Linked DNA regions of Nothobranchius furzeri. The protein of the gene in region 1 interacts with the protein of each later gene in a biochemical or structural test. Links are inferred from orthologs where the notes say so. Each region holds a gene or a part of one and is shown in the gene's direction. Other genes may lie near its edges. The genes, in order: parp1, hmga1a, casp3a, macroh2a1, cebpa, chfr and casp7.

The links.
Region 2: the proteins of parp1 (region 1) and hmga1a form a complex in vitro, tested with the Homo sapiens proteins (2 studies listed by BioGRID, with this or other methods). The link is inferred for Nothobranchius furzeri from reciprocal best matches to the Homo sapiens genes PARP1 and HMGA1.
Region 3: of the proteins of parp1 (region 1) and casp3a, one has a biochemical effect on the other in vitro, tested with the Homo sapiens proteins (9 studies listed by BioGRID and IntAct). The link is inferred for Nothobranchius furzeri from reciprocal best matches to the Homo sapiens genes PARP1 and CASP3.
Region 4: the proteins of parp1 (region 1) and macroh2a1 form a complex in vitro, tested with the Homo sapiens proteins (2 studies listed by BioGRID). The link is inferred for Nothobranchius furzeri from reciprocal best matches to the Homo sapiens genes PARP1 and MACROH2A1.
Region 5: the proteins of parp1 (region 1) and cebpa form a complex in vitro, tested with the Homo sapiens proteins (2 studies listed by BioGRID, with this or other methods). The link is inferred for Nothobranchius furzeri from reciprocal best matches to the Homo sapiens genes PARP1 and CEBPA.
Region 6: of the proteins of parp1 (region 1) and chfr, one has a biochemical effect on the other in vitro, tested with the Homo sapiens proteins (2 studies listed by BioGRID). The link is inferred for Nothobranchius furzeri from reciprocal best matches to the Homo sapiens genes PARP1 and CHFR.
Region 7: of the proteins of parp1 (region 1) and casp7, one has a biochemical effect on the other in vitro, tested with the Homo sapiens proteins (3 studies listed by BioGRID). The link is inferred for Nothobranchius furzeri from reciprocal best matches to the Homo sapiens genes PARP1 and CASP7.

Annotation. Positions count from the first base shown.
Region 1 is NC_091742.1:4,983,945-4,987,444, forward strand, and holds part of parp1 (poly [ADP-ribose] polymerase 1), read left to right. Parts: coding exon of another isoform or gene 1-880; intron 881-1,392; coding exon 1,393-1,483; intron 1,484-1,562; coding exon 1,563-1,679; intron 1,680-1,840; coding exon 1,841-2,017; intron 2,018-3,308; coding exon 3,309-3,471; intron 3,472-3,500. Other genes in the region: adorb1a (adenosine A2c receptor), read right to left, coding at 1-880. UniProt on the Homo sapiens protein: Poly-ADP-ribosyltransferase that mediates poly-ADP-ribosylation of proteins and plays a key role in DNA repair.
Region 2 is NC_091755.1:54,122,793-54,126,727, forward strand, and holds the start of hmga1a (high mobility group AT-hook 1a), read left to right. Parts: upstream 1-1,135; 5' UTR 1,136-1,344; intron 1,345-1,426; exon of another isoform or gene 1,427-1,581; intron 1,582-2,222; 5' UTR 2,223-2,237; coding exon 2,238-2,336; intron 2,337-3,074; coding exon 3,075-3,155; intron 3,156-3,935. UniProt on the Homo sapiens protein: HMG-I/Y bind preferentially to the minor groove of A+T rich regions in double-stranded DNA. It is suggested that these proteins could function in nucleosome phasing and in the 3'-end processing of mRNA transcripts.
Region 3 is NC_091744.1:19,590,126-19,593,625, forward strand, and holds part of casp3a (caspase-3a), read left to right. Parts: intron 1-2,369; coding exon 2,370-2,498; intron 2,499-2,618; coding exon 2,619-2,794; intron 2,795-2,874; coding exon 2,875-2,983; intron 2,984-3,065; coding exon 3,066-3,292; 3' UTR 3,293-3,500. UniProt on the Homo sapiens protein: Thiol protease that acts as a major effector caspase involved in the execution phase of apoptosis. Following cleavage and activation by initiator caspases (CASP8, CASP9 and/or CASP10), mediates execution of apoptosis by catalyzing cleavage of many proteins.
Region 4 is NC_091750.1:54,263,315-54,267,581, forward strand, and holds the start of macroh2a1 (core histone macro-H2A.1), read left to right. Parts: upstream 1-1,467; 5' UTR 1,468-1,616; intron 1,617-3,146; 5' UTR 3,147-3,175; coding exon 3,176-3,347; intron 3,348-3,444; coding exon 3,445-3,551; intron 3,552-3,642; coding exon 3,643-3,834; intron 3,835-3,970; coding exon 3,971-4,078; intron 4,079-4,267. UniProt on the Homo sapiens protein: Variant histone H2A which replaces conventional H2A in a subset of nucleosomes where it represses transcription. Nucleosomes wrap and compact DNA into chromatin, limiting DNA accessibility to the cellular machineries which require DNA as a template.
Region 5 is NC_091749.1:66,139,277-66,143,207, forward strand, and holds cebpa (CCAAT/enhancer-binding protein alpha), read left to right. Parts: upstream 1-1,131; 5' UTR 1,132-1,530; coding exon 1,531-2,403; 3' UTR 2,404-3,493; downstream 3,494-3,931. UniProt on the Homo sapiens protein: Transcription factor that coordinates proliferation arrest and the differentiation of myeloid progenitors, adipocytes, hepatocytes, and cells of the lung and the placenta.
Region 6 is NC_091757.1:31,985,046-31,989,143, reverse strand, and holds the start of chfr (E3 ubiquitin-protein ligase CHFR), read left to right. Parts: upstream 1-1,298; 5' UTR 1,299-1,423; coding exon 1,424-1,426; intron 1,427-1,612; exon of another isoform or gene 1,613-1,718; coding exon of another isoform or gene 1,719-1,721; intron 1,722-2,110; coding exon 2,111-2,231; intron 2,232-2,861; coding exon 2,862-2,961; intron 2,962-3,036; coding exon 3,037-3,146; intron 3,147-3,235; coding exon 3,236-3,307; intron 3,308-3,402; coding exon 3,403-3,600; intron 3,601-4,098. UniProt on the Homo sapiens protein: E3 ubiquitin-protein ligase that functions in the antephase checkpoint by actively delaying passage into mitosis in response to microtubule poisons.
Region 7 is NC_091756.1:38,344,439-38,347,938, reverse strand, and holds part of casp7 (caspase-7), read left to right. Parts: intron 1-625; coding exon 626-801; intron 802-3,500. UniProt on the Homo sapiens protein: Thiol protease involved in different programmed cell death processes, such as apoptosis, pyroptosis or granzyme-mediated programmed cell death, by proteolytically cleaving target proteins.

The DNA of each region.
Region 1 (3,500 bases):
GCAGCAGCTCCAGCGGCACGGAGCAGCGAGGGCAGAGCAGCAGGAAGCAGTTGATGACATGAAGCGGGATCCAGCAGACCGTGAAGAGAAACAGAATGAGGAAGAGAGACGTCACCATCTTTATCTCCCGGCGCATGCTAGCTGCGGCTCTGGTTTGACGCGCCGCCCCTCGGCCGCCCTGCTCTGGCCCGATGCGTCGCATCTGCTGCTTGACCGCAATGAAGATCCGAGCATAGATTAGGAACATGGCGAGCAGCGGCGTGAGCACGCATGCAAAGAAGTTGAAATACACCATGTAGGTCATGTCCACCACCAGGACGAAGACACAGTTGCCGGAATCGGGCGGCGTTTTGTGCCAGCCCATCAGGGGCACGAGGCCGATGAGGAAGGCCAGCAGCCACGTGGCGAAGATCACCAGGACGGCGTTGCGAGGCGTCATCAGGACGCAGTAACGGAAGGGCATGAAGATGGCGACGTAGCGCTCCACGGCCACGGCCAGCAGGCTGAAGATGGAGCTCTGTGTGAACATGATCAAAACGCTCAGCATGAGCAGGCACAGGTAGAAGTTGTGACGCGGCAGACCGGCGTCGGTCAGGATGGCGCAGGGGATGGCGACGGCACCCACGCAGATGTCCGCCACCGCGAGCGACACCAGGTAGTAGTTGGTAACGGTGCGTAGGCGGCGGTTTAGAGCCACAGCGGCGCAGACGAGTAAATTACCGACGGTGGATAAAAGAGCGATGATGAGCTCAGCCGCCACGTACGGCCGGTTGGGGGACATGTCTGCAGGTGGAGGTGATGGAGAGGAGGAGGGGGAGGTAAAGTTCATTGAGGAGGAGGAATATTGATGGGAGCTCCCCGACACGGCGGCGCCCTCCATGGTTTTCCTAAAGGAGAATAAGAATCAAGTAAAGCTGAATTAATGGAACATGATGTAAAGCAGCGGTTTCATCCCTCACCTTTAAACGTTAAGAGCGTGAGATCATATCCGTGTTGTCCCAACAGCAGCTGTCCACATGCAGACCACACATCAGGAGGTGGCTGATTTATTCATGTCCCCTCAGATCGGGGAGTTTGTCTTCACACCGACTGTTTCTGGACCATCATTAACTTTGAGTTAATGGTCTCGGGAGGAGGGAGAGAGTCCCATCAGTGGCGTCTGGGACCGTCCAAGCGTGTGCCGGCCTGTGTTTGTGTTTGTCCGACCACTGATGGGACCCGGGGGACGTGGTTTAATGAATAAAGGTGTCAGATTCAGGCTTGTTTGTTCCTCATCATGGCCGCTGTCCCTTTGCGACTCATTTAGGAAGTGAATGTTTTGCTTTTGTTTTTCTTGTTCGTCCTTGTCGAGCCACAAAACAACAAAGTTAACTGAAGTTTGTATTCCCTCAGGAAACGCAAAGGTGATGATGTTGATGGAGCATCAAAAAAACTAAAGAAAGAGGAAGAGGAGGAGAAGAATAAACTGGAGGAGCAACTGAAAGTACTTTGTTTTGAATTGATTTGACATTTTGGAGTGAAGTTTCTCCATAAGCTTAATGTTCCTCTTCATTCATCTGCAGAACCAAAGCCAGCTGATTTGGGGGATCAAAGACAAGCTGAAGAAACATTGTTCGATCAACGACATGAAGGAGCTGCTGATCGCAAACGCTCAGGACGTCCCCTCTGGAGAGTCCAACGTAAGAGAAGCTCCACTGGTGTTAATCTGGGTTTTTTTGGGGTGATTCTTTGTCTCAGAGGTCATATAGCTCTATAATATTGAGCTCAGTTTCACCCGGGAGATTCGTTGTTGCTCGAGTCATCTGGAGTCTTACGTGTTGTGTTTTTGTTGTCCTCTCAGGTGGTCGACTGCCTGGCTGACGGCATGGCCTTTGGTGCTCTGGAGGTCTGCAAGGAGTGTTGCAGTCAGCTGGTGTTTAAAGAAGACGCTTACTACTGCACAGGGGACATTTCAGCCTGGACCAAGTGTGTGTTTAAAACCAGAAGACCGGCACGCAGAGACTGGGTCACTCCCAAGGTGGGTCGCTTCGTCTCTTAACTCATTCGCTGCCAGCGTTTCTCGCCATTCTTACAGTTTTTTTTTTAAGAGTCACAGAACGTTGAGCGCTAAGATGACGTCAACACCAAAACAACCAAAACAAAGCGGAGACTCGCCTCTTACATCAGGAAGAATCTGCGTGTTTCGAGCGTTATCCGTTCTTTCATAATCTGTTGTTGAATTGTGATCGGCAGAAGCTTTTCCGGTTCGCACCTCACCTTTTTTTACAGCAGCGGCCCAAAACGATCTAACACATGCAGTGCGTTTACATGCAGCCAGTAACCCTTTTAAAACCCGAATATTCACAAAAACCCGGTTCCGCAGGTCCATGTAAACACCGCCAAAAACCCGGATATGCTCATAACCGGGTTGTTAAAAACACCTGGGGTAACCCTTTTCTAACCCGAATGTTTGGTCGTGTAAACGCATACCGGGATATCCCCATCAAAGCGTGTGTTCTGCGCATGCTCTGTTCGCAAGGAATCTTGGTCTTTTGAGTAGCGAGACGTCTTGTATGCGCCAGAACACCGGAAGTAAACAACAAGTTGGGAGCAACATGGCGAGTCGCGGCACAGCACCACACTTTTGGAGTGACGAGGAAACTAAAGCGCAAACAAACGCGGTCGCTATCTCTTCCGAACTGGGAAACATGTTGTTGTTTTCACGGATACCGGAACAAGAAGAACCGGAAATGAGGCATATTGCGTCTGGACGTAGTCCATACGTCCTGACGCTACCCCAACGTCCGCATTTAAATCGGGTTATGCAAGTTAGGGGTAACTCTTTCTATTTATGCTTGTAAACGGGTTATTCTGATCAACTCAGAAACCCGAATACCGACCTTAACCCGATCATAACCCGGATACTGGCTGCATGTAAATGTAGTCAGTGGGTGTTCTGCTTCCTGATCACGTGACGCATGCGGATGAAGATCGGCTTTAGAGCTGAGATGTTTGTTCTCACGGTGCGGGGGCTCGTTCCGATGCCCACACAGTAAAAACATGCAAATGACAACTTCAGTCGTCAATGGCAGTGAATGAGTTACGTTTTTTTTTTTTTTCCAGTTAATAATGTCTTAAACTACTAGTAGGTGTAAGCCGGAAGTGTTGGAGACAAGAAATGGTAAAAATAAAAAAGCTGCAGGTTGCCATCTGGAACGATGCTAAATTGGCACAAATGGTGCTGATGGGTCAGGAAATGGTACAAAGGTCTTTATCTGCTTTTTCATTCTTCTCTTTTTTCATTGAAATCTCATTCAATCCTGTTTCAGGAATTCCATGAAGTCCCTTTCCTAAAGAAATTCAAGTTCAAGCGACAGGACAGGGCCTACCCCAGAGAGGCGCCGGCCCAAACCCTGACAGCTGCTAAAACCGAGCCTCTGCCAAGTGCGTCCGGCGGACCGACGAAGCAAGGACCAGAATCGGCTCCTTCAGGTCAGAGAAACCCGACCCGAGTTTTGCTG
Region 2 (3,935 bases), on another chromosome or scaffold:
TTGAGAAAATCAGCGATGCTTCATAGGGAGTTTACGATTTAATTTCATTCAAACTAAACTTCGGCTAGTAGATTAAAATTAGCTCCACATTTACTGTTTCTCTTAGGGTTTCATACAAAATGAATACACAAATATGTTTTAAAGATTAGCATAATTAAAAAAAAGAAAGGAAAATCAACATAAAGAAAAAAAACTCCTCAATATAATTAAGATTCAAATATAATTCTGAAATAGCTGCTCAAAAATGTCATTTGAATTTTAAATGAAACATAATTGTTTTTTCTTTAATGCACAACAAATAAAAGAAAATTAGATTAAAATTAGCTCCACATGCATTGTTTCCGTTTGGGTTTTGTACAAAATAATATTATTAATATATTTAAATAATATGTATAAATTAAATTACTTTTTAGTCTCGTTATTTAAACATGAGCAAAGGGATTGTTTACATTGGGGGACGTCATCATAGTTCAAGCGCCATGACAGTGGAGGCTATGACACAATGTAGGTTAATTTTATTTTATGAAAAAAGTGGATTGTAAGCAATTTAGTCATTTCGTAAAACCCCTTAGATGCTAAAACAATGACGATTTACCAACTACTTTCACCCATGTCAAGAAAGTGATTCATAAAAATGGAGATTTGTAAGACGTTAGCTCTTATCATTCTATAATCCTTTATTAGACAAATTAACTCACTTTGCTTTCCCCCCAATACTTAGTTATTTGTTTGAATGTATAATTTTGGAGATTATTATACAACTATGATAAATTTATTATATGTATAATATAAAACTTTTGGATATTAATTTGGGACTCTTTCAGAATGAATGTAAACAATGGGAGAAATGTCTTGTTTACATTATAATAACGATATTTTAGAAGCCATTCACAAGCTGTCCGGTAAACATACAGTAAGCAATAATTTTATATAACAACTTAAAGAAATACGTACTGTGACCTTCGACGAGTTGAAAGTAACTAGATAAGTGACGAGATTAAACGTAAACTTCCACAGGTAGCGCGTCTCGACTTGTAAACACCCTGTGACGCAATAATCGGCCTGCGCAGGCGCTGCGCATTTCCCCAAAGTATAATATTTCGACGGGGGGCACGGATAGTCGGAACACCGGCGGTGCTGAGTGGAGGTTGGGCTGTTCTGGTTCTGTTGGTGGCCCTCGTTATCATATCCCCGCCCTCCAGTGTTCCCGCTCTCCTGAGGGCGGTTCTTTAAATTGTCCAAAAACTCCTCCTGTCCGACTCCGGCGCCTTTCATTCCTTTATCTGCGCGAGACGCACGTGCTCTACCGAGGGAAACCTTTGGATTAAACTTCTCACCGTGCTGGTAAAAATAAATATGTTTCATGTACAAAAATGCAGAAAGTTCAGCTTTTCGCTTATTTAAATGGGTTTGTGTGTGTTTTTAAGGCGCGTGAGCTGGGCTTTTTAAATGGGCGGGCTGTCTGACGAATAAAAGCTGTAGCCTATAGATCAGCTTTTTAACCGGGTACGCACCAGCCGGGCTTCAAACGGAAACAAGTCTACCTGAGTTTAGCACGGAGGCGATAGCACCGTGACAAAGGTGAGTGGGGATGCGACCACCGGTTTTACAAACAGCCCGGAGCTCCGGCGGGAAACGGCGGCACGTTGTCAGCCGTCTTTTGTTGCTTCGGTCCGGGCTCGCTCCGCTACACGGAGACCTCGGTTGCTGCTCTCCCCTCCGCCACTTAATTTTTAAAAAGCCATTCAGCTCAAAGCTTGTTGCCTGCAACCAGAAACGAGCCGCGGCCATTGTGGTGTGTGAGTGTCGGTGGATCTCTCCGCGGCCCAGGCGTGCAGACACGCTGCTCTGAGATGGTTCCGTGCGCAGGCCTGGTCTTTGGGCTCCTGCGGGGCCTATAAGCGCGGTCGGTACCGGAGGGAATTGGCTGGTTTTGTGGTCTTTTGCAGGTTAAGCCTGCTGTGATCGGTTTTCTGCGTAAACCTCTTGTGTCGCAGAGCGCAGACGAGACGGAAATAGACCTGGAAACCAGCGCGGATTAATTGGGTTAAACCGTGCGTGGTGCGGTCGGTCATCTTTGGTTTGTTGTTGCGGTCAGTGGGTTTAGTGGCTCACGGGTACACGCTGTGCTCAGTTTTCTGTGTGAACTCGACGCCTCTTGCAGCATCAAGGCCGGCCGGTAGGGTTTATTTAAATCATCATTATCATCATCATCCATTCAGGTTGGAAGAGCAAATATGAGCGACAAGGGGACAGTCTCACCGAAAGAGAAGGAGGCGGCAGAGAAGAGAGGGCGTGGAAGACCCCGCAAATCGCTCGAGGTGAAAACCTCTGACGTAAGTAGTGTCTATTTATTCTGGTATACTAGCTGATTTTCTACCACCCCGTCGTTTTATTATTATTATTATTATTTTTTATTTTTATTTTTGCATGCCATGGGAATAAACTTGATCTTAAATGCATGCAGAACCAGGCCGGTGTGGTGCTGAGCCTCAGGTCCTCTTGTGATCGCTGAGGCTCAGTTAGACGCACATGCAGGTTTGTGCATATCAGAGTCTTGAGACCAGAATAAAATAGCCCAGACTGCAGGAGCATGGCCTTGTGGCCATTTGCCCCCTGCTTTTCCACTGCTGAGGTGTACAGCAAATTCCCAGCATGTCTCACCAGTTTGTAAGCAACCAGTAACCTAACACCTTTAAACTGGTTTTAACCTCCCCCTCATCCTCTTCTGCATTACATAGGAGAGTTGTGGCCCAGAGTGGATCACATAGATGTCACTTGGCCTGCTGTGTATTACTATTGAGTTGCTGGGTTGCTAAGAGCTGTGATGATCAACACATCAGACGAGCAACAGAAGACGAGTGGGCCATGACGCCGGTTTAAACCACGAGTTGTGCATGAATTTGCTGAACTTTCAGATGTTATGGCAGTCCCCTCTGATGTTTACGGTTCAGCCAGATTGCTCAGTCAGTTTTTGTTTTGATTTCAATTGTTTTGATGTGCACTAAAATTGAGCCTTTTTGGGCATCTATTAAAACATTCTTGATATTAACTATAACCTGTTTGATATCCAGGAGCCAAGTGGGTCACCAACTCCAAAGAGGCCCAGAGGGCGACCAAAGGGCAGCAAAAACAAGACTGCTGGCAAGGGCAAGGTAAGTCATTGCTCGTCTTGTTTGAAACTTATATTCCCGTAGTTTGCAACAGCTAACCTCATCCTCTGCTGTTGATATATGTTTATTGGCTGCAGTTCAAGGTGCCACAAATAGCCCGGCCATGACTCCCTATTGGGGGCGGCAAAGTGATTATCAATACCAATAAATCTTGGTTAACTGCTTTATTTGGGGGTGGAAGGGGGGGCCTGATATTTACCCTGTACTTCCTGTCCTCCAGCTTCCTGCAGCTTGTCATGCACTGTGTGGTGCAGGTGCAGAGGCCGCAAGACTGTTTCCAGGCTGACACTAAGCACCCCTCCGCCCCCAACCAGCACACAGCCCTACTTCTTCTCTCTGCCTGTCGTCTCCATAGCAACAACTGCTTTTTCTCCCTCTCCCCAACCCTTTAGCTCCCCTGTGTGTGCGCGCCATTTGCTGTTACGTATGGGAGATGGAGTGAATAAGGGAGTTTAGGAAGCACCGGTATAGGTTTAGAAGTGCGGGCCAAGCTGTAGGGTTTGTCTCCACTCGATTTCACCAGCTGTCTCTGAGCCTCGGACCAGGTGGCCAGCGAACTGGAGTGCCCCGTGTGCAGTTCCTGTCGGCCGTCCAGATAATAGCCAATGAACCCAGTGCCCCCTTTCGATCGGTCTTGTTGCAGAAGTACGGCTGCCATCTACAGGCTAATCTGCAAATGGACGACAGATCCCCAGCACGTCGCTGAGAATGAAAATCATCTCTAAACAGCAAGACCCTCTTAAAGCTATATTGACCTTTTTA
Region 3 (3,500 bases), on another chromosome or scaffold:
CTTGTTCTAATTTGATTTTAACATTTCAAACACAAAATGATTATTTTTGCCCCAACATTTCTTTTTATTTGCCTGTTTTTTATTTCTGGCTGTCCTTACCGGGTCATAACTAGTCTCAGATTTGACTTTCCTTTGTGGATCAGTCATGCCATAAGTTGCTTTAATGCGTTTAAATCTACATTATTTTACAGTGAAGCAGATAAACCTTAAAGCTCTTCAACATCTTAAATATCACTTGTGTCATCACAAGTCGTTTTAAGGAAGCAGAGCCCCTTTTTTTGTCTGTCTCTACCTTCTCCTTTGTGTTTTGCTGGACTTGGGCCAAAAACGTCCAGGTGATCAGGTTCTGATGGTGACACCCTGTGCTCGGCGTTACAGCAGGTCAGTCATGTGTACTTAAAAGACATCAGAGCTAGCTGAAAGACTCAGGGTGGACGTGTCGTTGTGGAAACTGTAATAATTAATTAAATGCTCCATCTACATGTAGGCAGTAATAATGAGATAAAGCATCCATCTTTTATATTAGAGGTGTGTATTGGTAGCTGCCGCACGAACACACACACACACACACACAGCGAACTTGTGTGTGTGTGACCACGTGAAGGGGGTGTGGTTTGGGGTGTTTACTGTGGTTTATCAGGAAGTTGTAGCATCCATGTGACTAGCTTGATGAGACCTACGCCTTAAAGCCAGTGGTTGTTTGTTCCTTATGCTGACAGATTTACATAGCCTAGAAATCTAGACAAACCGTAGCAGCAGCAGAACATTCTGCTCTGCGGGACAGTCTAACCACACTCCCATGCAGCCTAGCAGGTCTACCACTGGCTCAAACCATTTTAGATCAGGCCAGTCACAGCGTTCTATGTTTGTAGAGAGATATTGGGCAGGCTTCGCACCAGAGCTGTGACGGTGAAAAACTACAAAGATGGCATCAGCTCAGGAACGGCGCTCATTTCAAACAGCTTTGGCATCAACTTTGAATGATTTAGACTTGGGCTTTTCTTTAAGACATGAGCATAGAGCGGTGCTTAAGTCGTTTGTTTAGAAAGAGGACGTGTTTACTTCTGGTTTGGCGGTGTATGGCGGGCTGCCCCATTGACTGAGATCCACAGCGATGAGTATGTCATGTTGTGTGTTGCTCTGATTGGTCCTAGCGCTGTCCATTTGTGTGCGCTGACAGTTTGAAAGGCATCCATAGGTTTTGCCCCACAACTAAGCTTTGTCTATGGGTTGTTGCCCGACTATTTACATATAAGCTGGTTTCCTATAGGCTAAGATTTACAGTGAATGTGTTCAAACTCATGATTGCACTGTGTGTTTTAAATGATCTTGTAGTTTTCCTTTAGATAATCAAGAATGTACAAAAATTAGATGGTTTCATGACGCTTTCATAGATTTATTTAGGTGTTCATAATAATTTTGTGATGTTGACACATCATCTTTTGATGCTTTCCCAAACTTTTCAGATCCAGACCCACAAAATATCCGTTATCAACACGCAGACACATGGGCCCAGATGTTTCCGATTTGACAAAACAAGCATCTTAAAAGCTAGCTAAAGAATGTTCACTCATATCCATTTATGATGGTTTAACTGAGTTTTTATAACAGTTATTCTTTCAGTGATTATCAGTTTTGTTTTGATTTCTGGGAATCATCTCAAGACCCTTTTGAGTGGTTCTTGGTGACCTACAGTGGGGTCCCGATCCCAGCTTTGGGACATACTGCCTAATTAGGCTTTGTGTCGACTTTAGATTGAGATATTTCTTTTCTCGTTGTACTAAATAAGCTGATCTGTCAGATCCTTGTGTATTTGTCTAAGAGGAGCTCAAATATCCATGCGTGCAAATGCATCTTCTGCTTCCACGAAGTTACATGTGATCCTCGTGTTGTCCTGTCTGGGTTTGGAAAACCAGTCCAGCAGGACTGAGAGTGTACACCATTCAAAGAGCAATGTTTAATTGGAAGTACTGAGGAAAGGTACATGTTAGCAGTGGCTAGTGCTGTTTTTGTGCTGCTTGTTTTAAACTAGACTGCAGTTTAGGATGAATAAGAGTCAAACTTTTTGTTTTCATGTTTATGTGGTTTATCAGGTCACAAATTTAGCTAGTGACACCTGCTAGAATTTAGATTTATTTATTGTACTTTTTAGCCTACCCTTGTACTTTGGGGTCATGTGATGTGTGAGACGACTTTATCATTTTAAAAACCTCCCCAAAACAACGGTAACTCGTCATTTCTTAACTCATGACACCTGCATTAATCCCTCTGTGTGTGTGTGTGTGTGTGTGTGTGTGTGTGTGTGTGTGTGTGTGTGTGTGTGTGTGTGTGTGTGTGTGTGTGTGTGTGTGTGTGTGTGTGTGTGTTAGGCATGAATCAGCGGAATGGCACTGACGTGGATGCAGCCAACGCATCCAAAGTGTTTTCTAAGCTGGGATATAAAGTGAAGGTCTACAACGATCAGACAGTCGGTCAGATAGTTCAGGTTCTGACTGCAGGTAACCACGATGCACCAGTCCCATCATTCCAACACATATTTGCATCTTCCAAAAGTGAGACACCATCTTTGAAGTGTGAAGTTCATGCATAGTTCCAAAATTTTTCTTTGTCTTTTTTAGTGTCTAAGGAAGATCACAGCAAATCAGCCTCCTTTGTCTGCGTCCTCCTGAGTCATGGAGATGAAGGCGTGTTTTTCGGCACGGATGACTCCGTAGAGCTAAAGCACTTAACGTCTATTTTTCGAGGCGATTGTTGTAAAACTCTGGTGGGAAAACCAAAACTTTTCTTTATTCAGGTACGATATATTTTTTTCATCTGTCCACACCATCTTTATTTGCTAAGTATCTAACCCCTAAAAACATTTGAACGGTGTAGGCATGCAGAGGCACCGATCTGGATGAAGGTATTGAGTCAGACAGTCCAGGAGGAACCACTAAGATCCCTGTGGAAGCAGACTTCCTGTATGCCTACTCCACAGCTCCAGGTTAAACCCTTACCACGGATTTTTTTGTATAATAATTATTTTACCGTCTTGGTTTAATCCCTAATGTGTCGTTCATGTGCAGGTTACTACTCCTGGAGGAACACGACGACCGGCTCCTGGTTTATCCAGTCACTGTGTGAAATGATCAGCATGTATGGGAAACAGCTGGAGCTGCAGCACATCATGACGCGTGTCAACCACAAGGTGGCGGTGGAGTTCGAGTCTGTCTCCTATTCACCAGGCTTTCATGCAAAGAAGCAAATCCCTTGCGTTGTGTCAATGCTGACCAAAGAGATGTATTTCTTCTAAGCTGTGATGGGGGAAAAAAAAAAATCAAATTTCTTGGGATCAAAAAGTGATGCAACATCTTAGTTTCATCTGCCTGGCTTGGCATTATTAGTTTCTCACTCTGTGGACTAGTTCTAAAGGAATTCACCTTTTTGCATCACAGCAGCCTGTTTTGTTATTTGTACACAACCTTAAAAAGGTTGTTTTTTAAAGCAGTTTCAGTGCTAAA
Region 4 (4,267 bases), on another chromosome or scaffold:
TTCCATTTATGCCATTAATTATCAGAAGACACTCCCTGAAGGATCAGAACTTAACTTCAAGCCTGTGTGCTGCTGCACCATGTGATCCATTATCAATGTAAATTATTTAACAATACATCCTATACTCATGCAAGTTTGAAAACTGTTGCAAGGATCTGATTCAAAGAGCATGTTGCCCTCGATGGTTGCCTCTCATGTCAGATTTTGCATTTTCAGAATAAACTTAAAATCTATTGGTGTGCTGCACAAGTGATATGAAATGTGAGCCTCTATATGATGACAGAAATGAAGTTAGCTATTGTTATGTTTCATCAGACCTTCACTCCCTGTTGTCAGAGTTTAAACATTCAGACTGATAAGGCATAAGGCAGTGCTGTGAATTATTTGTCAACTGGTTGGAATTTCATTCACACATCTCAAATGCAAGAAAAGAATAAAATTTTGCATTAAATATTTTTCAATTACTGCTTTGATTTAACGGAAATATAATAAACGTTTTATTTGCATGATTGTATTTTAAATCAATGGAAGTATGGAAAGAAAACACAAAATGTACATCATCCTAAAAAGTGTGTGTATGGTCTAGCCTGGCAAGCCAGGCTGAATAAATGTATTATTTACAAACTTTGCAAAGCAAGAACTTGGTCCATAGTTCACTAGGCTATGTATGGTCTGGAGTGAGGTAAAAATATCAATACTATCATCAGGAAAGTACATTTTAATTTTAAATTATTATACACAAGCCTCTTGCTGATTTATATGATCAACTAATACGATCAATTTATTTCAATACACAGATTTTCTTGATTTTGCGAATATTTCTATGTACAGTCTATGATATTTCTACAAAGAAAAAGCTTAGGTGTGACCTCTAGTGGCAAGATGCTGTCATTACTCAATCGTCTGTAGAAATTTGAAGAATAAAGGATTTCACAGTTGTTTAGTTTATTTTATGGTGTGTAAAAATGTAGTGTTGTCAGCTGAGTTAGTGGAGTCCACAGAATATGAAGAAAATCATAAAAGTGAAGATATCGTATCGTTTATTTTTAAAAGTCAGTCATTGATGACACAGTTCTTCCCCAAATGAAAAATAATTAATCCAATCAGTCATTTGGATTTCAAAAGGCTTTGAACTCCCCTTGAACGTTGCTGACTAGTCAGTAAAGGAAAAACACTTGACCATCATGTAATGTTCCGACACACTAGCATTAAAGGAACATGTTTGAGCTAGTTTTGTGGCAGCACTGTAAGGCTAATCTAACATTGATTAAATAAAAACTAGTGTGATTAAATAAAAACAAGTGTGTTAATTAGGGTTCATTCAGGAGCATGTCACGAGGGCAAAGGTTACTTAAATGTATCTTAAGTTTGTTTAGAAGCTGAAATAAAAAAAATAAAAGCTATTTCCGCGTAAAGAGGACGTGTTTCCTGTTTAATCAGGTGTTTAGAAACACATGCGTAAAAGGTTAAAGATCATCACAGCGGTCGGTCGAGCTCCGCGGGCAGCCTGGCTCGCGCCGTTCTACCAGCTCGCTGTGGATTGTGGGAATCGGGGACACTACCCAGGCTTGTTACCGGGTGAACGGGAGAATTATTCCCTCTGCCGCCGCTTGTTTGTAAGTACCCCCGCTCCGTGTCTACCAAGTGTCGCCTCTCGTCGGTGGAGCATGTACTCGTGCACCGAATGGAGCTGTTAACGTTACCGTTTTGTCCCTTACTGCCATGGGAGGCCCGAGAGCGGAGACCGTGTTTCTGGAACTGACAGGCGGTGAAGAAGAGGGGAGGGGAGGGGAGGAGGAGCGGGCAGCTGCCGCCGATCCACCGGGGTAATTTCCATCCGAAAGCTCGCTGACCTGTACGGGAAAACACCCCCCGTGTCGCCGGACAGCTGCAATTCGGTCGTTTTACACTTTGGTTGAAACGAAAGATGCGCGCGAGACGTTCGGCTGCTGTTGACATGCGGAAATGGATGTCAGCGGGCAGCAGCGGACAGGGAAATGCCCTCCGCGCTGATGAACCTACCTACACCTGGCTGGATGGAGAAATGCCGCAGATGTTTCAAGTCAAATGGATTGCGTTAGCGGTCTTTGGGTTTAGAACACGGTAGCTGCCGCGGGTTAACGTCACGTGTAATGGTAATGAGGTGGTGTTTGTGTTGGAGCAGAATAAAAAAGAGAACGGGAAAAGCGTGGCCTGTGGTGTCGGATAACCGATTGCCAGTGACTAACCGATCTGGCGCTGCAATATTGATCTCCTCCACCGTTTTGTTTATATTTCATGACTTTGAGTTTGTTTTCATGCAGATATCCAAACGTTTTTAATTATGCACGTTTAAAAACGACCGTTCCAGGGATGAAAATGCCATCTAGCATAAGTTCCCACAGGGCATCAGAGCATGACAATGACATAGATTTCATTTATTTATTTTTTTGCACGAGGTGACATCAACCAAACCCTTCAGTGGATTAGTGACCATTACCTAACATCACTGGAATAATATTTATCTATTGTGGATGTAAGAAAACATCAAAACACTGCAGTGTTTTGTGTTAATGATACGTAATTGAAGCAGTGTATCAAATGACATTTTAGTGAATTTACTGGCAAATATTTTCTGTATTTCTTTTGTTTGGTGCAATTTATACTCCGATTGCTAGGGGGCAGCATCTTTTTCCACCTCTTATTATGACGAAGTAATGAGATTTTACAAGTGTTTAAACAAATTCAGTCCTAAAAATCTCAAATACTGCCTAGCTTTTAGTATTGCCATATATCATATTGTTCCCTTGTATTGTGATATGTATCATATCACCAGATTCTTGCCAACACACACCCCCTTTGTCTCAGTCATGTTAATCAAGGCAGCTTCTCATTTTTTTCGAAACAGGCAGCATTTAGTGGCCACATACAGTCTTTATTGATAAGTAGTCATACATTATTCTTCTGATTTAAAACCAGGAAAAGGATAAATGAACAAAATAATTCAGTTTTACTCTTAAAAGAGAATCTTTGATCATTTAGAGTTGCGTTCTAAGGCAATGTTCACTTAAGTCTAATGAATATTTTATTAATTTTCTTTACATGCACCATGTTACCATAAAGTACAAGTAATCATTGTTCACATGTTTCATTGGTTTCCTCTGCAGAGCCCGCCACTGGTTACAGTTTTAGCATCATGTCCAGCCGAGGAGGCAAGAAGAAGTCGACTAAGACGTCACGGTCCACTAAGGCCGGCGTCATCTTTCCTGTTGGACGCATGCTGCGTTACATCAAGAGAGGGTTGCCCAAATATCGCATAGGAGTGGGAGCACCTGTCTACCTGGCCGCTGTCCTGGAGTACCTCACTGGTGAACTTTATTTTCAATTTAATATGTTTATATATATCAAATTTTTGTTTTGACCTGGCAATAGGTGTTCATTTTGTTTATGTCATTCTATCTTTAGCTGAGATCCTGGAGTTGGCAGGTAATGCAGCGAGAGACAATAAAAAGGGTCGCGTGACGCCGCGACACATCCTGCTGGCCATCGCCAATGATGAGGAGCTGAACCAGGTGACCAATTTCAAATGCACTAAAAGAGAGACATAAGATTTATTCACTGGTGCCGTAAGATATCATATGTCACATTTTGTTTTCCTGTCAGTTGCTCAAAGGTGTGACCATTGCTGCTGGTGGAGTACTTCCGAACATCCATCCAGAGCTACTGGCCAAGAAGAGAGGAGCAAGGGGCAAACTGGACATTCCCGTGTCACCTGCTCCAGAGAAGAAACCCAAGACGGTCAAGAAGACGGCAGCTAAGAAGCTGAGTGGGAAAAGGGCAGGAGGGAAGACTAAGGTGTGTCTCTCAGCAAAAAGCCTGATATGTTTGAGGTTTCTTTATAGATAGTTTTTTTTTACCTTTTTAGTCTTTTTGCATATCAGTGATGCCACAGAGAGAATAACAAAGTCACAAATGTTTACGTCTTTAACAGAAACCGGGCGAGGTGAGCAAGGCGGCGTCAGCAGACAGCACCACAGAGGGATCTCCGGCTGACAGCTTCACCGTGCTCTCCACAAAAAGCCTCTTCCTGGGTCAAAAGGTCAGTTTTACTGTCATCTCACATATCTATAAACTCTGCACAGATCTATAAACCCCACTTAGATCTGTAAACACAGAAAAAAATCTATAAACCCATCACAGACTTATAAACATATCTAGATCTATGAACCCTGCGCAAATCTATAAACCTTACATAGATCTTTAAACATGTGCAAATCTATGAAGACCA
Region 5 (3,931 bases), on another chromosome or scaffold:
GAAGCTGAATGATGCTGGAACTGGACCAGTTCTGGTTTCACCAGCTCTTTATGCCTGTACAAAAACAAACAACCATGATCAGATTGGATCTTCTCAGGTTTTAGGTACTTAAAAGATTTCATATGGTTTTTTATTGGACCATGTTCCTGGATTAACCAGACCCAGAGATTCTGTCTCAGTGGGGGATTCCTCACATCTCAATACATCTCCTGAGGAGTGCGTCAGATGTTCACGTTCAGGTTCAGATAAAGCTATAGGACCAGTTCAGATTCTGCAGAGCCTAAAGATTGATCCCAGGAACCCATATCACAAATGTTCAGAGATAGTTCTGATGGGTTCTGTGGTTCTATGATTGTGATGTGTTTATAGTAAGACAAGTCTTTATATGTGTCTCGGATGTCAGTGAGACAGAGACACATGTCCTCTCAGGGAGACAATCAGATGGGGACTATGTGGTTAAAATATCACTCTTTATTTACAACGAAATAATAGACTTATTACAACTATTTGGGCTAATTTCTAATTTTACATGTTGTACTAAAATGATACTCATTAAAACAAACACACTATCTTTATGACGAGGAAATGGCATTTTAACCGACCCTTATTTATGCTAACAGGAGTTATGCTAATGTAGCCAACAGCGTTACCATGGAGACCACCAGCTATGCTAGCAGAACAGAGCTAACAGCATCTCTGTCATGAACACAGGATCCAGCGGTTGTTTTTGAAGGAGAAAAGGTCCTTCAAAGGTCTCCAAGATGGTGCGAGATGTTCTGGATCTCTGCTCGGTTCTATACGGTCTGAAACGAACCAGAACCAACATCAGACCAGACGGTGTCTGTCTGCGTCCGACAGAGGGCGCTGCATCCCGCATTTTACACGCACACACACACGCGCGCGCGCGCGCGCGCGTGTGTGTGTGTGTTTGTGTGTGTGTGAACGCGCGCACATACACAGAGGTATGGCAGGCATTTACTTACGCGCATAAAAACATGCGTGCGCACACACAGGACTCTTTTGTGAAACAAACAAAAGTTTTATTCTAATTTAATTCTGGTTAATTTACCTTTTTTTAAGTAAACGAAACATCAGTCAAGCGTTTTGGTTCCGATGGGGTGGTGCAGTTCGGGAGACGATCCGCATCAGGTGATCAGAACCTTTAGTCTAGGAGCGAGACCCAAACTCCTTAAACAACACTTGGGATCATGATCGGTTCCGAGAACCTGCAGGGTTCTGTTGTCCCACCCGGGTCCCGGAGGGGTTCGAGTCAGACAGACTGAAGGAGTGTGGTGTTGTCCCCGCCCACCCATTCCAACTATAAAACCGCTGTTTGACAGCTCGGAGGTTACTGAGGACCAGGAATCGGACCGGCAGCTTCTCTTCGTTCCAACACAAAGTGTCAGTCAGTCCTAAAGACTCTGGTTCCGGTCGGCTCCTGTCCGCAGCGGTCCGACTCACCTGAGTGTGTGACTTTCCAAACTGGATTTCCGGAGCTCCTCGCCATGCCCGCCCGGCTTTAGGTTCTCCATGGAGCTCTCGAACCTGTACGAGGTCGCGCCCCGGCCCCTGCTGAGCAGTCTGCCCCACGGCCAGCAGCCCCCCTCCGGCTATAGAGACCCGTCTGACCTCGGGGGGGAGATCGGAGACAACGAGACCTCCATAGACCTGAGCGCCTACATCGATCCGTCTGCCTTCAACGACGACTTCCTGGCGGACCTGTTCCACCACAACTCGCGACAGGACAAAGTCAAGATGATGAATGGAGAGTATGACTGCGGTCCGGGTCCACAGCAGCTCTACATGCCTAACTACATGGAGTCCAAGCTGGAGCCGTTCTACGAGCACAACCCGCCGCGCCTCCGACCGGTGGCCATAAAGCAGGAGCCCCGGGATGACGAGGACCTGAACCCGGGCATGCCCCCTTCCTACCACCACCCGCACGCGCATCCTCAGCAGTACCAGCAGCAGCAGCAGCCGCAGATGCCGCACCTGCAGTACCAGATTGCGCACTGCGCGCAGACCACCATGCACCTCCAGCCGGGCCACCCGACGCCTCCACCGACTCCAGTGCCGAGCCCGCACCATCACCACACGCACCAGCACCTGCAGCAGGGCGGCATGAAGCTGCTCGAGCAGCGGGGAGGCGGGAAATCTAAGAAACACGTGGATAAGAGCAGTCCGGAGTACCGGCTGAGGCGCGAGCGCAACAACGTGGCTGTGCGTAAGTCTCGGGACAAGGCCAAGATGCGGAACCTGGAGACCCAGCAGAAGGTGGTGGAGCTGACGACCGACAACGAGCGGCTCAGGCGGAGGGTGGAGCACCTGACCCGGGAGCTGGACACGTTACGGGGCATTTTCAGACAGCTGCCGGACGGGTCGTTCAAACCCATGGGCAGCTGAGAGATCTGAATCGGACTGGACCGGAGAGTGCTGGATTTGTTTAGAGACAGAAGCAGCTGAGTTCTCAAAACAGCTGCACATATGCAGAACTTTTGGGTCAAGGAGCAGAAAACTTAACAGACCCGGTTCGGTTCCGGATGATTTTAATCTTCAGAGCAGCAGAACGGAACTCTTCCATCAACAAACTGAACCCGTTGGAGACTTTTAACTTGTTTGTTTGTTTATTTGTTTGTCGTGTTCTCGTGCCTTTAACGTTTGTGCAAAAGCCGATAAGCTGAATCAGATGTTCAGTGCCTTAAACAGACTGAGTCCAGAACCACTCAGAACATTTCAGTGCAGCTACGATGAGGTTAGTGCGGGACCAGCCTGCGTGCACGACGCCTTCATTACAGAATTTTATTTAATCACAAACGATCTCATGTACGGAACCAAACCGGACCGAAACCTGTTTCTGAGCTGTTTGCTTGGCTGAACTGTGTTTTGCAGGTGATTGGCTGTTGACACCACGTGGTATCAAACTCACCTTCACACTTGCCAGAGATAAACTGTCTGGGGAGTTTGGGTCAGAGCCAGAACCCATGTTTAATAAAACTAGTTCTGAATGACCCTAGCAAAGCCAGGCTGAGGGTTGTTCGGTACTGAAACCGTTACAAACAGAACCGCCAAAGCCCTGCAAGCCCAACCCTGACCCTGTTCAGACTGAAGCTCTCATGCACTAAAGCCAGATACATTGTGGGACATGGGGAGGCAGTGATGGTACTGATCATGGGGAGGGGGTGTACTGATACAGGTTCTGGACAGAACCCAACAGAACTACGCCCCTCTAAACATGTTTTATTGTGATCAGAACAGCTAAATGTGAACCAGGTTTCAGCATCACTCTTCATCTTCCTGCTTGTTGCAGTCATCTTCACTCAGTGCCTTTTGATCGCTCAGATGACCTTTGACCTTTGTCCGATCCCTCAGATGGTTCTCTGACTTGTTCCAGGGAGGAAGAAAGAAGCACTTTGTTGTTTATTTCTGTAATATAAACATAAAATATAAATGAAAAACCAAAATCTGAAGTAATAAAGAAACTTGTTTTATCAAATTTGGTTCTGGTGTTCTTCTGAGAGTGTTCGGCTCTATGTGCACACACACACACACACACACACACACACACACACACACACACACACACACACACACACACACACACACACACACACACACACACACACACACTAAGTCAAAGATATTCATTTTTACTCTAAAACCAGCTGCTTAATGAGGCGTCAGACAGCTGATCTACTGGTTCCAGCTTCTGTTTCCTGTGTATTTAAATGATTATTATTCCCTCAGTTTGTGCTTTAAGGTTCTGTTTGTGTCATGACTCTGCTGCAGGCGACCTGCCATCATGTCGTAAAATCGGAACTCCCTCAGATGTTCCGAAGGAACTTCAATAATCCCTCAGGAAGGTTCCTCTGGAAAATTCAGCTTCCAGCAGCGGCACACAGAAAAGTTTCAACAACAAGACGAACAAAGGAGC
Region 6 (4,098 bases), on another chromosome or scaffold:
TTTTTACATTTCTTACCGTTGCTGTAGAGTCAGAAGTTCAGCTCTGACAGGAAAACCTGTGAACTGAAATGTTGTGTCTCAGCCATAGTTACAGACTCCTGCAGGGATCTTTGTAGTTATTGGATGAATGCTTTGGTCTGGAGTGCTGAATAAACTATTTAAACTACTGACATCTAATAGAGTGTTTTTGTTGTTCTTTGTACTGAAGCTTGCAATAAAGAGAAACCCAAGAATGACATGCGGTCAAAAGTATAAAAAAGGTGACCACGAGGAAAAAATACAGATTATTTGTGATAAAGTGTTGTTTCATGTCCTGTTGGTGGATTCATGCTAAGGAGTTTTCACTGGTTAAAGATTGAGTCAATTATGTAGGAGGATAATGTGAGCCTTATTTTGAGGTCAAAGGTCATAAAAGTGAAGTCCAAAATGCTTTGTTACTGTTCATTCATCAACCATGAACTACTACCTGAACCAACATGTCATTAATTGGGGTAGAGACATTCCTAGACGAGGGTATTGTGATTTATTTTATTTGTAATACTAAAAAATAGGGCCACATAAATAATCCAATGTAAAAGTGTTTGTTTACATCAACAGCCTACAGGATAAGCAAAACCATTATCCGTGCTTAGGAGGGGCCAAAATAAAATCAGTCTGAGGACCGCAGATGGCCCACGGACCACACATTGGACATATCCGACCTGGAAGGTAAGATTCAAGTAGGCTTCATGAGGTGTTATTATGGACAAAAAGAAGAAAAAATGTATAAAAGAATGCAGAGGGGAAAAAATCTATAGTGCTCCTGAATCTGTCTATTTATTCTGTTTTTATTATTTTAATAAGTATGTATGTAGTAACTAAATTGTATTTATGTAGCACTTATTACATCACAAAGTGCTTCACATAGATCAAAACAAAATAAAACATAATGATCTCAGAACAAACAGATTAACGTCAGAAAAAATAAAGTCATAAAATTGTATTTTATATAATAATATATTTTATAATAATAATAATAATAATAATAATAATAATAATAATAATAAATTATTATTATCATTATTATTGTTGTTGTTGTTGTTGCTGCTGCTGCTGTTATTATACCCATATTCTGGTATAAAAGAGAAGGGGTATAATTACTTTTGACATTTAAAGTAAATAATCATTTTATTAACTTTACCATTTCTGTCATGATGTGGCCTTTAAAACTTAGTGTCTTAAATGAATATCAGAGTTTTTTGTTTTTGCTTTTGTTTTGACACAAACCGTTGGTGAACATTTCCGAGCAGGCAGCTCTCGGGGCCCCTCCTCTGATGGGGCCAGCTCAGAGCTTTGCAGGAAGTGCTTCGCTCTATGCTAGCTAGAACATGAGAAGGAGACGCTGTTTAATCCGAAACACCTGGGAGAACACACCGCGGGTTTGATGGTAAAGTAACAGACGGGTTTACAAATGAAACCGTACATATAGTTAGTCTGAGTGAGGGTCTTTCGCTGGGTTTCTCTCGTCGATGCTAATGCTAGCAGTGTCGTTAGCCCAGTGTTGTTAGGAACAAAGTTCAGTGTTGGGCTGTTGTGTTGCATCATGGAAAGTTTTGAAGCTTTGATATTTGTCAAGAGAACAGACTACACGTCTTCCCAGCTTGTCCCGGAGATCAAATCAAGTTTTAGTTAAAAACATTTATCAAAAATCTCAGAGCTGAGTTTAGTCGGCGCTTGTTATGGTTGTAACTCTTTATTTACTTTGCCATTGTGTATATGGTTGTTGGGCTTGTATTTATTTACAGTACTAGTTTTTCTTTTTGACTGTCAAAATTATGAGCTTCTGTCAACTTATCCCGTAGGAACAGAGTTACATCAGCCTGTAATTTAAAACTAGATGCAAACTGGCTTCTGAGAGTGGGTTAACGCCTAAATAGACAATAGCTGTAGTACAAATATTTATATGCTGTGTATAATTTAGGCTCAATGGCTATATACAGATTTATATCCTTGTTGCCTCTCTAATATCACTTTCTCTTTACTTCCACAGCCCATATCAGTTTTAGGAAATAACCAGATTTTTATGTCTCCTGACTTGTTTTCTGATTTAAAATTTTTAATTTTATTTCAGGAAAAACATCGAGCCATGGACACTCACAGAGGAGGACGACCCTGGGGGAAACTAGTCAAAGTTGATTCCAATGAAACTGTTCTGCTTTTCAATAAGGAATGCACAGTTGGCAGAAAAAAAGGTTAGTCTTTTACCCTGTGATCCACCATGCTTTCTTTGCCATAAATCTAATGTTGACAAAAATGTCTTTTTACCCTGGTGTCCAAACTCCAGAAGTGGAAAATCTTTATAAATGAAAGGCAGTCCTGTGGTGTAGACGTTTCTGCCAGTCAGTGTCTGGAGCCTTTACAACCTCCCCCTTAAAAACACAAACCCTTTTTTAGTGCAGCAAACTTAGACAGACCCTTGTGACGGGAACAAAAGGCGTCTATTGACAACATGTGTGAAGAATATTAAGTAGAGCTTTTTTGTACGGGTTTGCTTTAGAAGAGGTTAGGGCCATATATCCCCCTGTGTCTGCTTTGTTGTCGAGAGCTTTGGGGAATCAACGTTTTTTTATAATGCAAAGCCACCAGACTTGGCATTACTTAATCAGTTAGCTTATGTCTGGCTAATGAATGATTTAAAGCTGTCATGGCAACTCGGGCTTAGAGATGAGGTTGAAGATTTTACATTACACCATTGTGTCGGACAATTTAGCTCTTTCTTTGTTTTAAAGGAGAGGAAAGCTAAACATGATGCTATATTTGAAAGCAGAAAACATTTGTTTATGGTAGATTTGTTTGCATTTGTCGTTTCTCTTCTGTTTTAGGGTGTCATCTGTCATTTCCAGCCAACAAACTGGTCTCAGGGGAGCACTGCAAAATAGTAAAGAATGAAAGCTCAGGGCTGGTGTGGCTTGAAGACATGAGGTACAGTAAAGCTGTGCACCTTTTTAAATGTGCACACTGGTGTTTTACTGAAACACTGATCTGTTTTGTCTGTAGCACTAATGGAACTGTGATCAACATGTCCAAACTGGTTAAAAAGCAAAGTCACATGCTGCAAAACGGTGATGTCATCTACTTTGTGTACAGGAAGAGTGAGCCAGAACAAAGTGAGTCACCCAGTTTGTGAGCAGCAAGAATCATATCTTTGTTTAAATGAGTTTCAATAGAAAAGACACACTTTCCTGTTCCACTGCAGACATTGCCTATGTTTACCATTCTATCAAAATGGATCAAGACGTTATGAGCTTACCACAACTTTCCAGTTATGGTAAGTTGGAAGTCACCTGTGCAACCAGAAGTATTGCATCTTTTTGTTTTTGTGCCACTTAAGTAACTTTTCCGTCTCGTATGTTTGAATGTGAGGTCTGGAGGGTTCAGCTCGGTGTTTGTCACCTGTCCCAACGTCAGAGATGTCCCTCTCTGTGGAGCCTGTGATGCTCTCTAAGGCTCCTCGGGATACAGCTCAGGAAGAAGCTCAGCCTTCTACTTCTGCTTCTCTCTTCTGTATTAACAGCCCCCCCTCTTCATCTCCCATGGCAACAGCAGCCTTTTCATCTTCTGGTAAGGGAGACTGCAGTTTGTTTTTTCTGCACCGCATCCTGTTAAAAACGGAAAAATTCCTGTTTACACTTCTTTGGACTCACCTATCGTGACTCACAACAGAAGGTTGTTGTTGGTTTAGCATCCAGGAAACGGTAGACAACATCTTGACTAGTAGAAGCTAACCGTTAGCATTAGCAACTCCACAACACAGCAGAACTCCTTCAAACTCGAGTCATTTGTGGAAATAAAAACTCAACGTTGCAGAGCAATCAGAGGCATGGTGACCAAATATCAGGAAATAAGAGCTCAAACTGCAGTCTGAAGCTCAGCTCTGATCTGGCTCACTTCTAGTTCCTGAAACGGGTGCATCTGAGCTCCCGCCCCACACAGAGTACAACTTACAAGGCATTCATTCCTACTAGAGACCACTGCAAATGTATTAAAGTCATGAGTGAAGGACCTGTTTAATATTTTGATAAATTATGATGCTGTTAATAAATTCTTCAGGTGACTCCT
Region 7 (3,500 bases), on another chromosome or scaffold:
AGGAAGACAAAAATAAACAAGAAAAGGTAAAATGGGATCATGAGAAAGACAGAATTGGTAGAAACAGCAGAATGAAAAGAAGGTAGTGATGAAGAATCAACAGAAGGTCATGCAAAAGCCAGCCTGAACAGATGAGCTTGCAGATGAGGAGACCGTGGCGGGTGTATTACGGTAGTTTGCCAGCATGGCGTGTCTTCTAAGAAGGGCTTATCACAGTTCAACCAGACCTGGTGTAGCTTAGAGAAAATATTCTTTTTAAACATTCACCAACCAAATATGAGTTCACCAACCAAATATGATCGTTTTGTTTTAACAGTCTTAAAAGTCCAATCATATAACAGTCATATATGATGATCCTTTAACTTTGTTTTTTTTATTGGAAAAGCTCCCTAAATATTTCACTAGAGCACAACAAATTAAAACTTTGAAATAAATATTGGCAGAAAAAATGTACTCTATTGACGTTTCTTAATATGTTATGCTTTTGATGAGCATATTATTGACTTGAATAACAAAACGAGATTATGTTTGATGATTGAGTAGAATGAGTTTAGTGATTGGGTCCTTTTAGAGAGGTTGGATGTGTCTGAGATAAGCTGAGAGTTAAGTTGTATGTGTCTTTCAGCTTCAGAGGAAGACCACAGCGACAGTTCGTGTTTTGCCTGCATACTGCTGAGCCATGGTGAGGAGGGCATGATCTATGGCACAGATGGCGCCATGCCCATCAAGGCCATGACCTCGCTGTTCAGAGGAGACATGTGCAAAAGCTTAGTTGGGAAGCCCAAACTCTTCTTCATCCAGGTATCAACCTTAAAAGTCTTGATTTAAAATAATTATGTGGCCAAAAAGTTAAAGGTTCAATATGTAAGAATTCTCCAGTGAAATAATCACTAAACAGTCTAATGTCTCATGTTGGAAGGAAGGCTACATAGAAACAGATTAACTTCTCAGCTGGCTGGGGGGTTGTTAGTTTTTCTCCTTTCAATTAAAATAAAGAGGGACGTAGTTACGGATGAAAATCAGCGAATTTGTGAGCTTGGTGAGTCTACACCGAGCTATTGCTGCAGCACCAGTTTTTGTAATTCTATTGTGTCACGCAAAAGGCTCCAGAGTTGTTTAAAGAACCGAAGCCAGTGAACAGGAGCGTAGCCCTGAGAAGCCACAGCATCTTTTTTAACTCTTAATATCAAGTGAAGAAGGCTAGAGGCTAACGTTGAGCTAACAATACTAACAGTGATTTAGAAGCAAATAGTCACCTCTAAAAGTATCTCATGCTACTTTTTCAATTACCAACAAATCAATATTACAGTGAAATGTGTGAATGAATGAATGTTTATTTATATAGCGTTTTACACAACCCAGAGGGTGACCAAAGGGCTTAACATTAAATATGGAAAGAAATTAAAAATAAGACAATAAAACAATTAAAAACCACTGTAAAAAGGTAAATAATCAGAGCCTGTTTAAAACAATGCAGGACAAATTTAAAAGTAATAAAAAATAAAAACAAGGAGGAGTACTCAAGCTCCTCGTTGAACCGTCACCTTATCGTGGTGGAGGAGTTTGAGTGCGCTAATGATCCTAGGAGCTATGTTGTCTGGGGCACTTTGTGCCCCTGGTAGGGTCTCCCATGACAAATTGGTCTCAGGTGAAGGGTGAGACAAAGAACGGTTCAGAGGCTCTTTCATGGATGAACTATCAAGGAGTTGGAGTACCCGGCCTGGAGTGTTACCGGGGTCCCACCCTGGAGCCAGGCCTGGGGTTGAGGCCCGTGAGCGAGCACCTGGTGGCCGGGCTTTCGCCCATGGGGCCCGGCCGGGCCCAGCCCGAACTGGAAACATGGGCTCATCCAACTGTGGACCCACCACCTGCAGGAGGAACATGAAGGGTCCGGTGCAATGTGGATCGGGTGGCAGACCGAGGCGGGAGCCTTGGCGGTCCGATCCCCGGATAAGGAAACTGGTTTTTGGGACATGGAACGTCACCTCGCTGGCGGGGAAGGAGCAGGAGCTTGTGGCAGAGGTTGAGCTGTACCGGCTAGATATAGTCGGACTCACCTCGACACATAGCATTGGCTCTGGAACCCAAGTCCTTGAGAGGGGTTGGACACTCTACTTCGCTGGAGTTACTCCGGGTGAGAGGCGGAGGGCTGGGGTTGGCTTTTTGTTAGCCCTAAGACTCTCTGCCTGTGTGTTGGGGTTCATCCTGGGGATGAGAGGGTAGCTTCCCTGCGCCTTCGGGTCGGGGAACGGGTCCTGACTGTTGTTTGTGCTTGTGGGCTAAATATCAGTTCAGAGTACCCACCCATTTTGGAGTCCCTGGGACAAGTGCCAGATAGTGCTCCATCAGGGGACTCCATTGTCCTGCTGGGGGACTTCAATGCTCACGTGGGCAATGACAGCATGACCTGGAGGGGTGTGATTGGGAGGAACGGCCTGCCTGATCTGAACTCGAGTGGTGTTTCATTATTGGACTTCTGTGCAAGCCGCAGTTTGGTCATAACGAACACCATGTTCGAACATAAGGATGCCCATCGGTACACTTGGTACCTGGGCAGCCTAGGTCGCAGGTCGATGATAGACTTTGTAGTTGTATCATCTGACCTGCGGCCGTATGTTTTGGACACCCGAGTGAAGAGAGGAGCGGAGCTGTCAACTGATCACCACCTGGTGGTGAGTTGGATCAGATGGCAGGGGAAGATGCCGCGTAGACCTGGCAGACCCAAACGCATAGTGAGGGTCTGCTGGGAACGCCTGGCAGAAGAAGCTGTCAAGACGGTCTTCAACTCCCACCTCCGGCAGAGCTTTGACCACGTCCCGAGAGCAGTGGGGGACATTGACACAGAGTGGGCCTTGTTCCACTCTGCGATTGTTGAGGCGGCTGTAGCTAGCTGTGGTCGCAAGGTGGCCGGTGACAGTCGTGGTGGCAACCCCCATACCCGCTGGTGGACACCAGAGGTTCGGGGAGCCGTCAGGCTGAAGAAGGAGGCCTACAGGACATGGCTGGTCTGTGGGTCTCCGGAGGCAGCAGACAGGTATTGGATAGCCAAGCGGGGTGCAGCAGTGGCAGTTGCAGAGGCTAAATCTCTGGCGTGGGAGGAGTTTGGTGAGGCCATGGAGAAAGACTGTCGATCGGCTCCAAAGAGGTTCGGGCAAACTGTCTGGCGCCTCAGGAGAGGGAGGCAGCAACTCGCTCACACTGTTTACAGTGGGGATGGGGAGCTGCTGACGTCAACTGGGGCTATAGTCGGACGGTGGAAGAAATACTTTGAGGAGCTCCTCAATCCCACCTACGCGCATTCTGAGGAGGAACCAGAGCCTGGAGACCTGGGTATGGACTGTCCAATCTCAGGGGCAGAAGTTGAAGTTGCTGAGGTAGTCAAACAACTACACAGCGGTGGAGCACCGGGGGCGGATGAGATTCGTCCTGGGTATCTCAAGGCTATGGATGTTGTAGGGCTGTTGTGGTTGACACATCTCTGCAACATTGCGTGGTCATCG